2 linked regions of the Daphnia pulex genome follow. The protein of the gene in region 1 purifies or fractionates together with the protein of each later gene. This does not show direct contact. Links are inferred from orthologs where the notes say so. Each region holds a gene or a part of one and is shown on either strand. Other genes may lie near its edges. The genes, in order: isoleucine--tRNA ligase, cytoplasmic-like; leucine--tRNA ligase, cytoplasmic-like.

What was found.
Region 2: the proteins of isoleucine--tRNA ligase, cytoplasmic-like (region 1) and leucine--tRNA ligase, cytoplasmic-like purify together in Homo sapiens (affinity purification with mass spectrometry; 7 studies listed by BioGRID and IntAct, counting the BioPlex papers as one, with this or other methods). This does not show direct contact. The link is inferred for Daphnia pulex from reciprocal best matches to the Homo sapiens genes IARS1 and LARS1.

What each region holds. Positions count from the first base shown.
Region 1 is NC_060019.1:990,513-997,400, forward strand, and holds the start of isoleucine--tRNA ligase, cytoplasmic-like, read left to right. Parts: upstream 1-2,588; 5' UTR 2,589-2,733; intron 2,734-3,018; 5' UTR 3,019-3,024; coding exon 3,025-3,143; intron 3,144-3,222; coding exon 3,223-3,530; intron 3,531-3,612; coding exon 3,613-3,801; intron 3,802-3,862; coding exon 3,863-3,991; intron 3,992-4,065; coding exon 4,066-4,214; intron 4,215-4,278; coding exon 4,279-4,694; intron 4,695-4,752; coding exon 4,753-5,151; intron 5,152-5,212; coding exon 5,213-5,351; intron 5,352-5,417; coding exon 5,418-5,594; intron 5,595-5,656; coding exon 5,657-5,869; intron 5,870-5,929; coding exon 5,930-6,123; intron 6,124-6,179; coding exon 6,180-6,282; intron 6,283-6,348; coding exon 6,349-6,564; intron 6,565-6,626; coding exon 6,627-6,785; intron 6,786-6,849; coding exon 6,850-6,888. Other genes in the region: mucin-21-like, read left to right, coding at 247-669, 744-869, 945-1,530, 1,655-1,740, 1,806-1,923, 1,987-2,231. UniProt on the Homo sapiens protein: Catalyzes the specific attachment of an amino acid to its cognate tRNA in a 2 step reaction: the amino acid (AA) is first activated by ATP to form AA-AMP and then transferred to the acceptor end of the tRNA.
Region 2 is NC_060027.1:4,478,988-4,486,077, reverse strand, and holds the start of leucine--tRNA ligase, cytoplasmic-like, read left to right. Parts: upstream 1-3,366; 5' UTR 3,367-3,501; exon of another isoform or gene 3,502-3,515; intron 3,516-3,568; 5' UTR 3,569-3,570; coding exon 3,571-3,855; intron 3,856-3,911; coding exon 3,912-4,035; intron 4,036-4,105; coding exon 4,106-4,275; intron 4,276-4,331; coding exon 4,332-4,576; intron 4,577-4,649; coding exon 4,650-4,875; intron 4,876-4,941; coding exon 4,942-5,114; intron 5,115-5,189; coding exon 5,190-5,362; intron 5,363-5,416; coding exon 5,417-5,555; intron 5,556-5,621; coding exon 5,622-5,926; intron 5,927-6,002; coding exon 6,003-6,243; intron 6,244-6,317; coding exon 6,318-6,518; intron 6,519-6,581; coding exon 6,582-6,736; intron 6,737-6,803; coding exon 6,804-7,090. Other genes in the region: ATP-dependent RNA helicase DDX24-like, read right to left, coding at 29-37; mitochondrial import receptor subunit TOM22 homolog, read left to right, coding at 474-677, 738-849, 949-1,076, 1,144-1,224; phosphoserine phosphatase-like, read right to left, coding at 1,650-1,744, 1,805-2,112, 2,175-2,251, 2,319-2,376, 2,449-2,588. UniProt on the Homo sapiens protein: Aminoacyl-tRNA synthetase that catalyzes the specific attachment of leucine to its cognate tRNA (tRNA(Leu)).

The sequences.
Region 1 (6,888 bases):
TAACCTAATTCATCTATCCCCGCCAGATCGAAGTTTGTCGAAATATTCAGGTACATATAAAATGTTTCATATGACGCCAACAATCTTACGAAACTTGTGTTATCTATCAGCTGCTCATGACGAAAAACAAACTAACGCAGACTATAATAATCAGCTTCAGTCTAGATTGATTCGTTTTGTATGGCCGTTGATTGTGTAGCGACGTAGTTTCGTTATTTGTGCTTGAATTTCAAATTTGTGCTGAAAATGCAAAGTTGTCTCTCGTTTTTAGTGGGCTTATTTTTATTACTTCTCATTGACAAGCCATCAACTTTAATCGCTAGTTGTCAACATCAAATGTGCGATCTCACGGTCGGACCCACGAAATTGGTTGAACTTGTCAATCTTGATAGTGACTTCGAGAACGGTCAAATTGACCCATGGATTGAGCAGTCGGAGTCTGGTGTCAAGTGGAGAGTCGAGAACAAAATTTTGCCTTGGGAGCCAGGAAATGTGGCTCCTACACCGACCAACGGATCGACTTATCTCCGAGTTGATCGTGGATCGACTTTGTCGTTCGGTGTGGCTGTTCTGCGCAGTCAGACCTTCACCCTTGGGTCTGACACCGAAGTTTCCTTTTCATTCTCCTTTTGGATTCGTTCTAAATGGCCACAATTCACAAACTTGGAGGTGATTAAATTATTATTTTATATTATCAGAAGGACGGACTTTGTTTAAATGTTAATTATCTAATTGATGTGCAGTTGTATCTGGCCAGAAACGGAAATGAAGGTTTGCTTTCAAATTTGTTCGAGCATTCCCATATCAACAATCGAGTTTGGCAGTCTCAGACCGTTTCAATAACGGACGATTCATCCTCTAATTTGACGGTATTAAATTTGTATTCGTTTTCTTGTTTGAGATGTGTCTTTTTTAATCTGGAACTTTGTGCCTTACGAAAGTAGTTGGTGTTTTACGCTTATTGCGGGACGAATGCTGAAGATGCTGTCGCCATCGACGACCTCCGTTTCATTTCTTCTCAAGAGTCTTCGTCAACCACATCGACTACACTGACCAAAACTTCTTCATTGACGACTGCTACTCCAGTGACTTCATCTACCACATCGACTGGAACAACTCTGTCCACCACGTCCACCACGTCCACCACGTCCACCACGTCCACCACGTCCACCACGTCCACCACGTCTACCACGTCTACCACGTCTACCACGCCAACAACCTCGACATCTTCAAATGATTTTGAATTGACGGAGAACTCAACGGGTCCTATTACTTCTACAATAAGCACGGAAATCCCTGAAACATCAACGTCGGGTACGGAAACCGTTGAAACATCACCACCAGCCATTACAACCACATCTGCTACTCCTTTACCAACCACCAGTGATCAAACTACAACCGTTACAACTGAAGAAACGACAACAGAGGAGCAATCGACAGGGATTACGTCAGCAGGATCGACTGAATTTACCGACATAACAGACGCTATAACAACGACCACCGAACTCGCAACAACTATTCCAGAAGGAGGTACGGCATGTGAAAACGTATTTCAATTATTTGAGCTACATCCCTTTGCAATCCTGCTGTTATATCCCTACTACAATCACTTTACATTGGAATTGATGATTTTTCTTTTGAATTTTATTTGCAGAAGATTGTCCATCGTATTTGAAAGGAAATACTAAACTGCCTTGCTGGACCTTGGGTGGGAAATGTTATTGCTTTTTCACCGACGCCGTAAGAAACCAATCACGATTTCAGATTTTTTTTGTTATGAGGTTCAAATTTCAACAAATTTTCAGGTCGGCAAGAATTGGATATCCGCGGATACCTTTTGTAAAGATGAAGGTATGGGTTTGCTCAGTCTTGAAACTGTAGAGGAGGACAAGTTAATTTACGACCATATCAAAATTACACCAGGTAAATTGTCAAGTGAAAATCGTGCAATGAATAAATTATATTTTTTTTCCTGCGTGAATCTAGAGTTGAACAGCGTCAGCTATTGGACTTCAGGGATGTATTCCCTGGATGGAGAAAAAATATGGGAATGGGCATCTACAGAACCCTTTCAGCCGTTCACTTACGTGAATTGGAGTCCAGGCCAACCTGATAACAACGGACCGGGTTATTGCCTTCACCTTGATTTAATCAAAACTTTTAGTGCTGGTTATTGGGCTGATATATTTTGCACTAATTCTTTCAGATTCATTTGCGAATCAATTGATTAACTTGGTAAAATCCAGATGTAATAAATAGATCTGCAATTATTTATTTATATATATTTTTCGTGTAAAATTTTTTTTATATCAGTGTGTTATCAATTCGAAATTTATACGAAAATAAAAATACACCAGCAATCAGCATACCGCTTGAGTTTTGACTTCTTAAGTTAATTGTATCTCATAACCACTAGTTTAGATCCATCATGGATCCATCTGTGAGACACAATTAAAGAGCTTATGCATTTTTCAATGTAAGATAATAAGATATCGTGATTTGTTGAGTTTTGTTTCGTGATTTCCCCTCCCAGCCTCCTTCATCAGTTCCTCTTTTCCTGTTCACGTTGCCCTTGAAATACGTATGTTGAAAGTGTGGCAACGTTGCGTTTGGTAGCAGACGAATTTTTCTTGAAATTCTGATGTAAAATTCAGCAATTCAGCGATCAAGAGCCGGAAATCTCGTGGAAGATAGATAAGCTACTGTTTCTTGGATTGATTCATTTATTTTTAGGTAATTATAAAGTTATCATTGCATGCATTTAGTTTATTTCATAGAAGTATTTGGTTTGATGAGAAAATCAAATTTATCGCTCCTTATGTCAGCAATGTGAACTCAATACCAGTTTTTCTTGTTATTGTGTCAAAAACAGTTTATGTGGCACTTTGTAAGTTTACAGAATCGTTTATTTTGCTTGGTTAAAACTCTTTACAAGTAGGAAATTGATACCATGTTAACAGTCCATCATATGTTTTTTACGAAATGTAAAGACATTTTTCTGCACACTTTTTTTTACAGTTAGAAATGGTGGAACCAGTTCCCGAATCAATTGATTTTGCTCAGGAAGAAGGAAAAATCTTGGAATACTGGAAGAAAATTGATGCATTTAAAACCAGTTTGAAATTGTCCAAAGGGAAACCTAGGTAATGCAAATCAATCCATTTAATTTGCATCTTAAAAATTACAAATTTAACATTTTGATTTTATTTTTACTTATCATAGGTACACATTCTATGATGGACCTCCATTCGCTACTGGCCTTCCTCATTATGGGCACATCTTAGCTGGAACTATCAAGGATATTGTCACCCGATATGCTCATCAAAATGGTTTTCATGTTGAGAGGCGTTTTGGATGGGACACACATGGCCTTCCAGTTGAATATGAAATTGACAAAACTCTTGGGATCAAAGGCCCAGAAGATGTCATGAAAATGGGAATTGCCAATTACAACGCCGAGTGCAGAAAGATTGTCATGCGTTACGCAGAGGACTGGGAGACCATTGTCAACAGAATGGGACGTTGGATTGGTAAGTAAAAATTTCCTTCTATCAACTTCTTTTGTTTCAATTACTATTTTTTAAATCATCTTTTCAATGTTTTGTGTTTCAGATTTCGAGAATGACTACAAAACCCTTTACCCGTGGTTCATGGAATCAATCTGGTGGGTTTTCAAGCAACTCTTCGAGAAGGGGCTAGTCTACCGTGGATTCAAAGTGATGCCTTTCTCGACGGCTTGTAGTACTCCATTGTCCAACTTCGAGTCGGGACAGAACTACAAAGAAGTGGTTGATCCGGCAGGTAAATCATATATTTCTATTTACATTCAAGCCATTCTTAATTACTTGTCTTTTAAATACAGTAATTGTTAGCTTCCCGCTTGACGATGAGCCGTCAGTGTCTATTCTCGCATGGACCACTACTCCATGGACACTGCCGAGTAATCTTGCACTTTGCGTCAACGCCACGCTGGACTATGTTCGAGTTAAAGGTTTGTTTAAGACAACTGTAACTATTAAATAAAGTAAAACCTAAAACAATTTTATTCTCCATATTTCTTGATAGAAAAAGCAACAGAAAAGGTTTACATCATGATGGAAGCTCGTCTCAGTGCACTTTTCAAATCTGGAGAAGAATACGAAATTGTGGAACGATTCAAAGGAGAAGTTCTCAAGGGAAAAACATATCTGCCACTGTTCCCTTACTTTGCCAGCGTAATTATGAAATTAAAAGATAATTAAATTCTGTCGTAATTTAAATCATGATTTTTTTTTACAGTTGAAGACTTCCGGCTCTGGAGCATTTAAAGTTTTAACGGATTCCTACGTCACCGACGAATCCGGCACTGGTATCGTTCACCAAGCCCCATACTTTGGTGAGGACGATTACCGAGTTTGCCTGGCAGCTGGCATTATCTCAAGAGATCAGGAGATGATTTGTCCTGTGGATGATGGAGGAAGATTCATTGATCCAGTTACTGATTTCGCCGGCCAGCACGTCAAAGATGCAGACAAGAACATTATCAAAATGTTGAAAGACTGTGGCCGATTGGTGAATTCCGGCACCGTAAAGCACAGCTATCCTTTCTGCTGGCGCTCTGAAACACCCCTTATCTACCGTGCTGTTCCTTCTTGGTTCATCCGTGTGGAGCAAATGTCCAAACAGCTGTTGGAAAACAACCAGAAAACTTATTGGTAACAAACGTTATACATTTCGTGTTACTGCGTGTTGACCCATATGAATTGTATTTAGGGTGCCCGACTTTGTCAAAGAAAAACGGTTCGGCAACTGGCTGCGTGACGCCAGAGATTGGGCCGTCAGTCGCAACCGTTACTGGGGCACTCCAATTCCCATTTGGATGTCGGAAGATGGCGAAGAGGTGGTGTGTGTCGGATCCATCGCCGAGTTGAAAGAACTCACGGGCATTGAATTGACTGATTTGCATCGCGAGAACGTTGATGGCATCACTATTCCCTCCAAAATTCCCGGTCGGCCACCCTTGAAACGTGTCTCAGAGGTTTTCGACTGTTGGTTCGAATCTGGATCCATGCCTTACGCTCAAGTCCACTACCCGTTTGAAAACAGGAAAGAATTTGAGGACTGTTTCCCTGCCGATTTCATTGCCGAAGGCATTGATCAAACACGCGGATGGTATGTTTGTTAATAGTAAATTGAGGTAGGCATTTAACGAATAATATCTTGGCTGTTTTAGGTTCTATACGCTGTTGGTTTTGTCGACTGCCCTCTTCAATAAACCACCGTTCAAAAATTTGATTGTCAACGGCTTGGTGTTGGCCAGTGACGGCCAGAAAATGTCAAAGAAGAAGAAGAACTACCCCGATCCAATGCTGGCAAGTTTATTTTTTCTTTTTCTATCTAAACAAAATGGTTTAACTTACTTTTTTCGACTTTTATAGGTTGTCAATAAATTTGGAGCTGATGCTCTTCGTCTCTACTTGATCAACTCCCCAGTTGTTCGTGCGGAGAATCTGCGCTTCAAAGAGGAAGGTGTTCGAGATATTATCAAAGACGTTTTCCTACCCTGGTACAACGCTTACCGATTCTTTGTCCAAAATCTTGAACGTCTCGAGCGCGTAAGTGTTTTCTTTAGATATTGTTAGACATTTTGATATTGATGCATTTTTCTTGGCTACAGGAAGATGGAATTAAATTCGTTTATGAAGAAGAGGCCTCTAATTTGTCAACGAATGTGATGGATCGCTGGATCATTTCCTACACTCAGTCCTTGCTGCTATTCGTCCACCAAGAAATGGCTGCCTATCGGCTGTACACTGTTGTTCCTCGTCTTGTCCGGTTTGTAGACTACCTGACCAACTGGTACGTGCGGATGAACCGTAAGCGACTAAAGGTAAAAATCTTTTCGTTTATTTTCACAACACCTTAGATTAATTGTCATTTGGTCGTTTAGGGAGATGGTGGCAAGGACGATTGTCATCACGCCTTGCAGACACTTTTCAGTGTCTTGTTTTCCATGATCCGTGTTATGGCCCCATTCACGCCCTTCCTGACCGAATTGATGTACCGCAACTTGCGTCATTTAGTGGCCAACCAGAAAGCCGGAACGACGGAATCCGTTCATTTCCTTTCTACGCCTGAACCAAAGTATTAAAAATTCTACAAGCAGTAATCAACATTTACTAATGCTTCATTTTTATTAGGAAACATTTGATTGATGTCAAAATTGAAAATGCCGTGAGTCGGATGCAAGTGGTGATTGAACTCGGACGTGTTCTTCGTGATCGCCGCACTCTGCCCATCAAGGTTCGATCGTTTTTTTCATATTCTGTCGCTGCCGGTTATTGATTATCATTTTCAAATAATTTGCAGTACCCTTTGCCGGAAGTGATTGTTATCCTCCGTGAGCAAGAGTCCTTGGATGAATTGAGGACTATGGAACGATACATTCTGGAAGAGTTGAATGTCCGTGCTCTCAAACTGACCACCGACAAGGACAGTTTTGGAGTCAGTCTACGTGCAGAACCGGATCACCGCATTGGAGCGCGACTCAAAGGCCAATTCAAGGCTGTCATGGCTGCAATCAAGGTTATTTACTGCGTAATGTGATTACATGCATGAACTAAAATTTATTCATTGAACTGAATTAGACCCTGACGGATGAGCAGCTACAAGGATTCTTAACCGAAGGTCAGATCGATGTTTTGGGTAACATGATGGGTCCAGAGGATTTGCGGATCTTTTACCAGTTCACTGGTGACCGAGCTGCTGAATTGGCCCAGCAATACGAGACACAAGCGGAAAAAGACGTAAGTTGTCTGTTTAAGAACCATTTTCCTGGCTTTTTTTATTGAATTTTTCTATGTGAGACAGGTGTTGGTGTTGTTGAATGTAGTCCAAGACCAAAGCATG
Region 2 (7,090 bases), on another chromosome or scaffold:
CAGTGAAAAATTAAATAACAAGTTTTACCTTCATCATGATGGAATAAAAAGCACAAGTGCTGAACTGACAACAATAATTTGACTTAAAAAACACGTGTCAGCTTGACGAACCCACAACCAACATGAATTGTGCAGACGATTTTAGCTTCGTGGCGTTGCCATCATATACAAATCTGTATACTATCTTAAAAGTAAATATGTTAATTTTTAGAAACTCACGTATCTACAAAAAATCACAATAATTTATTTTTTATTGTAGATAGTTGTCATAAAAATTATTTTCTCATTATCAGGCTACAGCCGGTTGCCCGGTGCCTCAGGCTTCTCTGTCATTAATACTTAGCAGACGATAATGTCGTCTCTTCCGTGATACACTGATACAGTTGGTCAGCGGTGTAATCTGGAAACATTTCCATTGCCAAAATCAAGTAGTGTAATACAAAAACGTGTAAGAATTTGTTGAATTTGTAAGAATGGCAACTATAGAAGAAATTGACGATCTCAGTGTCGAGATTATTAATAGTATCAACGATGAAGAAGAAGAACCCAAAGAAAACGCGTCTAGTCCGGCACGTGCCCCTGAACGACCAAACTCTGAATCGGCTGATGCCTCTGTCGTTGCCTTGTCGTCATCAAAAGCATTAGACGAAGCAGACTCAGACGACGAAGATGATGATGTAAATAAGAACAGTTCTGTAATGTAAAAATCATCATTCACTGTTATGTTTTTATTTCAGGATTTTGATGAAACAGTACTCGAAAGATTGGTTGGTCTGACAGAAATGTTTCCAACATGTTTACAAGTTGCAACTGCTAAACTCTTTTATGGTACATTTTCATCTGCTAAAGGTGTGTACACCAATTAATGAAAAAATTGATCTACATGGTTTATTTGTTAATTATGTTTGTCTGTTAACTACAGCCTTTTAACATTTTTTTCTTATTAAGGTTTTTATTCCTTTGCTCGTTCTGCTTCATGGGTTATATTCAGCACATCTGCAATCCTCTTTGCTCCAATTATATTTGAAGTTGAAAGGGCACAAATGGAAGAAATGCAGAAACAACAGCAACGACAGGTATATTTGTGAAAAACACAATTTATACTCTTATCCAATTGATATTGATATTACTGAAATTTAAAAGATATTGTTGGGCCCTGGTGCTGCCATGTCAGGAGGCAGTCCTCATCCAGGAATGGCACCAGTTCCATCACCTATCCGTTAAGATCTCGTCAGATTCTTCGTTCGCCGTAGTCTTTTTTTATGTAACTGGCTTGATAAATTACAACTAATGACATTTAAAAAATTTATTTGTCTCAAGAGCCACAAAAGTTTTTCTAGTTCTCCCTTCCACACACATTATACTAGCCTATTTTTTTAATTTTTTTGTAGGCCTAACAGTCAGTTAATAGTTGTAAAAAGAAGTTTGTCTAGTTTAGTATTTCTAATGGCAATTTACTTAAAACATATTTTTTTGTTTTACATTGATGGCCCCTGAAAAAGAACGAACGACTCGAAGATGAATAAATAGCGGTAACGGAAATTTGTAATCGATGTATATTACTAGGTTATCATCCAGTGCAATCAGTAACTGCATTATTAGATCAATAACAAATAGTTCAAAGAAGACGACAATTTTCGTAGACAATGTTAATCTGTAAGAACATTTATCAAATCTTGAAAATCTGTAACAAACCATGCAGCATTAGCTTTAACAACCTCTCGCGCGACATTGCCTCCATATCCTATTACCAAAATAAGGACTTGTAGGTATAGAATAACAAAACATTCTTTTTAGATTATACCAATGAATGCATCAGCAGGTGGGCATGCTTCCAAGTCCGTTATCCCATCACCTATCATCACAATAATTGAATGGCCAAATTTTTCCCTAATTGTTTGAATCACTTTGCTTTTTCCTCCTGATCTGGAAGTTGGTTGATCTTCATCAAATCCAGCATAGGTTCCATCATGATAAAATTTAAGCTTATTAGCATAAATGTTTTCTTTGGGAATTCCAAGGTGATCTGCAACTGGTTGTATCAAAGATTCAAATCCACCAGATATTAAATATGGTTTTTTGTTTAGAACATGAAGGGTCTTTATTAAAGTTCTAAAAATAAAATTACTGATCAAATAAAATTCATGGAAATATTAAGTAAAAACTGCTTTTACTCTAAATGAGGGGTTATCTTGAGATGTTGTTCTTTGGCAATTTGCACTACTTGATCATAGTGAGGTTGAATCAGGTTCTAATAAGACAATATAATCATTTAAAGTATTATGTAATAAAATTTTAATTAACATGAATTAATATACAAGTCTTAGTTTAAGGGCTTCTCTAAAATCCACGTTTCCGGACATAGCTTTGCTTGTCCTATCATAAAATATGTATAGAAAATAGCTACAAACTCAAAATTGAAAAGATAAGCAATTTAGTTGTGTTTACATTTCCTTCACTTGTTGTCCTTTTCCACAACAGAGTGCTAAGTCATCAATTCCTTCTCCAATACACACAGTAGAATCAACATCAAAGCAAACTGCATCAGCTTGTTTAAGCAATGTAATAACGGCTTGTTTTGTGCTCATTTCCACCTATAAAATAGATCTAAAACCGTTGAAAATTTAAGCGCAATGAATGATCGCGTTTCTGAGGCTTCGAAAGAATACAAAAACCTCCCCCTTTATTCTCTTCCACTAATACTTTTAAAGTAAGTGGTTACTAAACAGTGGGACGCGGGAAACGGAACCCGGAAAAAATTTTCAAGCACTTAAGTGATAGGCCTAAAGAAAAAACTTTTTTTTTTATTAGGAAGCCGGTGTTTTAAAAAGGAACCCAGAAAGTGACTCAAAAAATTGTGGAACAGCTCTACTTTATGCAAAATCGCAAGGCGATTCGATTCTAATGCTGCAAAGATAGGAATTAATTTAATTATTGTTTGTGAGATACCTATCGGGGAAAGATTTGGAAATATGAAAGTTTCGTTCTCTTCGAAATGCGCGATTTGAAATAAAAATAAAAAGCTTGCCATTCAATTTGTACAGATAAAGCTTTTCGTGCAAAGATCATTTGGAAATTGGAACCATTTTCAAACCAATTGAGATGCTATCAGACGTTGCTGGTTGCGCATTTGCGCTACTTTAGGCTTTCGCCCCTTTTCCGTCTTTATTATAATTAAATCGCTGAACGTTGAGGAAGGGATTTTAATTTGCGATTTCGAATTTCTTTTTTCGCCGAATCCCCATTCATGTATGTTATAAATATGTAATTAATTAAAGAAAAAATAACATGCATGTAATGTGCACATAAATAAAACGAGATTCCTGGCCTTTTTATATAGCCGCTAGAGCGTGTTGCACACGTGTAATCGGTCAATCAGATAATCGTGAATTGCTGAGGCAAGGCAAGACTTGCGTTTCCCAATTGAATATTCTGTCGTCTGCTTGCCGGACGTAAAAGTCATCGCTTGATAACTTCTTGGATTTTCTTCTTTTTCAATCAGTAAAATACCTCAGGTTATTTCTGATTTTCAGTGTCTATAATATTGTATTTATTTGATTTATATTAGATATGACTGAGAGAAAGGGGCGATTCAAGGTTGATTTTCTTCTGGATCTTGAGAGAGTGATTCAAGAAAAATGGGAAAATGACAAGATATTTGAAGAAGATGCACCTGAAGATGAAACTGCTGAAAAATTCTTTGTTAACTTTCCATATCCTTACATGAACGGGCTGTTGCATTTAGGACATACTTTTACACTAATGAAGTGTGATCTAGCTGTGGGCTATCAGCGATTGAAGGGGAAAAAATGTTTGTATCCATTTGGATTTCATTGCACAGGAATGCCAATTAAGGTAAACTTAAAATCTATTGAAATCACAAATCAAGTTGTTTAATGAAATTTTTTCAGGCATGTGCAGATAAACTGAAACGAGAGATGGAACAGTTTGGATTCCCACCAAAGTTTCCGGAACATGTGGAAGAAGTAGTAGAGGAAGTTCAGGATAATTCAATTCCTAAGGATAAATCCAAGGGTATCTTCCTTATTATAAATTTGTGTAAATTAGTAGTTAATAATGACTAAATTATTTATTTTTGTCATAGGCAAAAAAAGCAAGGCTGTTGCTAAATCAGGCACAGCCAAATACCAATGGCAAATTATGCAAAGTCTTGGCTTAAATGATGAGGAAATCAAGCCCTTCGCTAATGCAGAATACTGGCTTAAATTTTTCCCTCCGTTAGCTAAAAGAGATTTGATGAAGTTAGGCTTGCACGTGAGTTCCTTCAATTCCAGTGTTTAAATTGTTGATTAAATCGGTATTTTTCTTAGGTTGATTGGCGACGGTCGTTTATTACGACAGACGTAAATCCTTTTTACGATAGCTTTGTTCGTTGGCAGTTTTTGCGTTTAAAAGATCGTGGTCACATCCAGTTTGGTGAAAGGTACACCATTTTTTCACCCAAGGACGACCAACCATGCATGGATCACGACCGGGCATCGGGAGAAGGTGTTGGTCCTATGGAATACACACTAATCAAAATGAAAGTGTTGGATCCATTACCCAGTGTCTTGCAGTAAGTTGCTAACAATGATTGCCAATTCCTTCTTTCTATTTTATATGCATCTAATTGGTATTTTCATTTTCAGGCCTTTTAATAAGAAATCCATTTATTTGGTAGCTGCTACTCTTCGACCGGAAACAATGTATGGTCAAACCAATTGCTGGTTGCGACCTGACATGGATTATATTGTCTTTGAAACAAAATCCAATGAGATTTTTGTTTGCACCTACCGAGCAGCTTTGAACATGTCGTTCCAGAAAATGACAGCTGACGTGGGAACAGTTGTGGTTTTAGCCACAATCAAGGGCGAAGTAAGTCTAACGTTATATTGTTGTTTTCACCATTACATTTTGTTATATCTTACCCCTTTTTTATAGCAAATACTGGGTGCGGCATTACAGTCTCCCTTGGCTAGTTTCTCTCCGATTTACACTTTGCCTATGTTGACAATCAAAGAAGATAAAGGAACTGGTATTGTAACCAGTGTTCCTTCTGATTCTCCAGATGATTATGCGGCTCTGCGGGATCTGAAAAACAAAGCTCCCTTAAGGTATTTACAAGTTTCCTGTTCGTCAGTCTTCCACATTTTTCTAAACATTTTTCGGATTTTTAAAATTATTTACAGAGAAAAATACGGAATCAAGGATGAAATGGTTTTACCATTTGAGCCTGTTCCAATTGTAGAAGTTCCTGAACTGGGGAATCTGAGTGCAGTTTATGCATGCGATCGCTTCAAAATCCAGAGTCAAAATGACAGAGATAAACTCCAAGAGGCTAAAGAACTTGTTTATTTGAAAGGTATAATAATTTTCATTAACGAAAGTTAGAAATAGATCTAATTTTGAGTTTTAGGGTTCTACGATGGCGTTCTCCTTGTTGGACCTCATCAGGGCAAGAAAGTGCAAGATGTCAAAAAAGTGATTCAGAAGGAAATGATTGAAGCAGCGCAAGCAGTTGTTTACATGGAACCAGAGAAAACGATCATTTCAAGGTGTGTAATGTTCTTTCACATATTTATTCTGTCGTGTTATATTAATGCAAAATATTGGACATATAGATCAGGTGACGAGTGCGTGGTTGCTCTCTGTGACCAATGGTATCTCGATTACGGAAAGGGAGTTTGGAGGGAACGCACTACAGAAGCTTTGGCGAAAACTGAAACCTATCACGACGAAGTTCGTAAAAACTTTACTGCCACCCTAGATTGGCTTAAAGAGCATGCGTGCTCGCGAACTTATGGTCTTGGCTCGAAGTTGCCTTGGGATGAAAAATGGCTAATAGAATCGCTTTCAGATTCCACCATTTATATGGCGTACTATACGGTCGCGCATTTGTTGCAAGGAAATACTTTTGATGGAAGAGGTACATTATCAAATATCTATAAACATCCAACCTTAGTTAAAACATTTTTTTATTTCGTAATGATGTTACATTTCAGGAGAAAACGCCTTGGGGATCAAAGCCGATCAAATGACACCCGAGGTCTGGGATTACATTTTCTTCAAAGAAGCATCCCTACCCAAGACTACGATTCCTCAAGAGAAATTGAGTACTTTGAAGAAAGAATTCAATTTTTGGTATCCTGTAGACTTGCGCGTATCAGGCAAGGACTTGGTTCCCAACCATTTGACCTATTTTCTATACAACCATGTTGCCATCTGGCCAAACGAACCCAACAGGTAATCAACAATATGCTGGAAAAAATAAGTAAACCAATATAAATGTTTGTTGTTTTACAAATTTTATATTCCAGGTGGCCTCAAGCCATTCGAGCCAATGGTCACTTGCTGCTCAATTCTGAAAAAATGTCAAAATCAACAGGCAACTTCTTGACTCTTTCTGACGCTATTGATAAGTTTAGCGCTGACGGTATGAGGTTAGCCTTGGCTGATTCGGGTGATTCTGTGGAAGACGCAAACTTCGTTGAAGCAATGGCAGACGCTGGTATTTTGAGGTAGCGTTATATTATATTGCAATTAGAATTAACGTACGAGTTGACCCTTTTTTATTTGTACAGGTTGTATACCTTGATTGATTGGGTTAAAGAATGCCTTGCAACAGTGGATCAACTTAGAGATTCGGATTACACGTTTAACGATCAAGTTTTTGATAATGAAATGAATCTCAAAATCGTTGAGACAAATCAGAATTACGATCGCATGCTCTTTAAAGGTACTTAGTTAAATGGAGCCGAAGTTATAATTCTAAAAAATCTAACTTTTCTTTTTAATTTATTCAGAGGCTCTCCGAACTGGGTTCTTTGAATACCAAGCCATCCGTGACACCTATAGAGAAATAAGCATGGGCAACGTTCATAAAAAACTAATTTTGAAGTATATCGAAACTCAAGCTGTTATTCTCTCCCCGATTTGTCCGCACGTCGCGGAACATATTTGGGAACTGCTTGGTCATAAAGAAAGCATATTGAAATCTCGGTGGCCGACAGTTCCTGAATACGACAGCGTTCTCATCAGCGCGGGCGCTTATTTAGACCAGGCTGCTCACGAATTCCGCTTGCGACTGAAA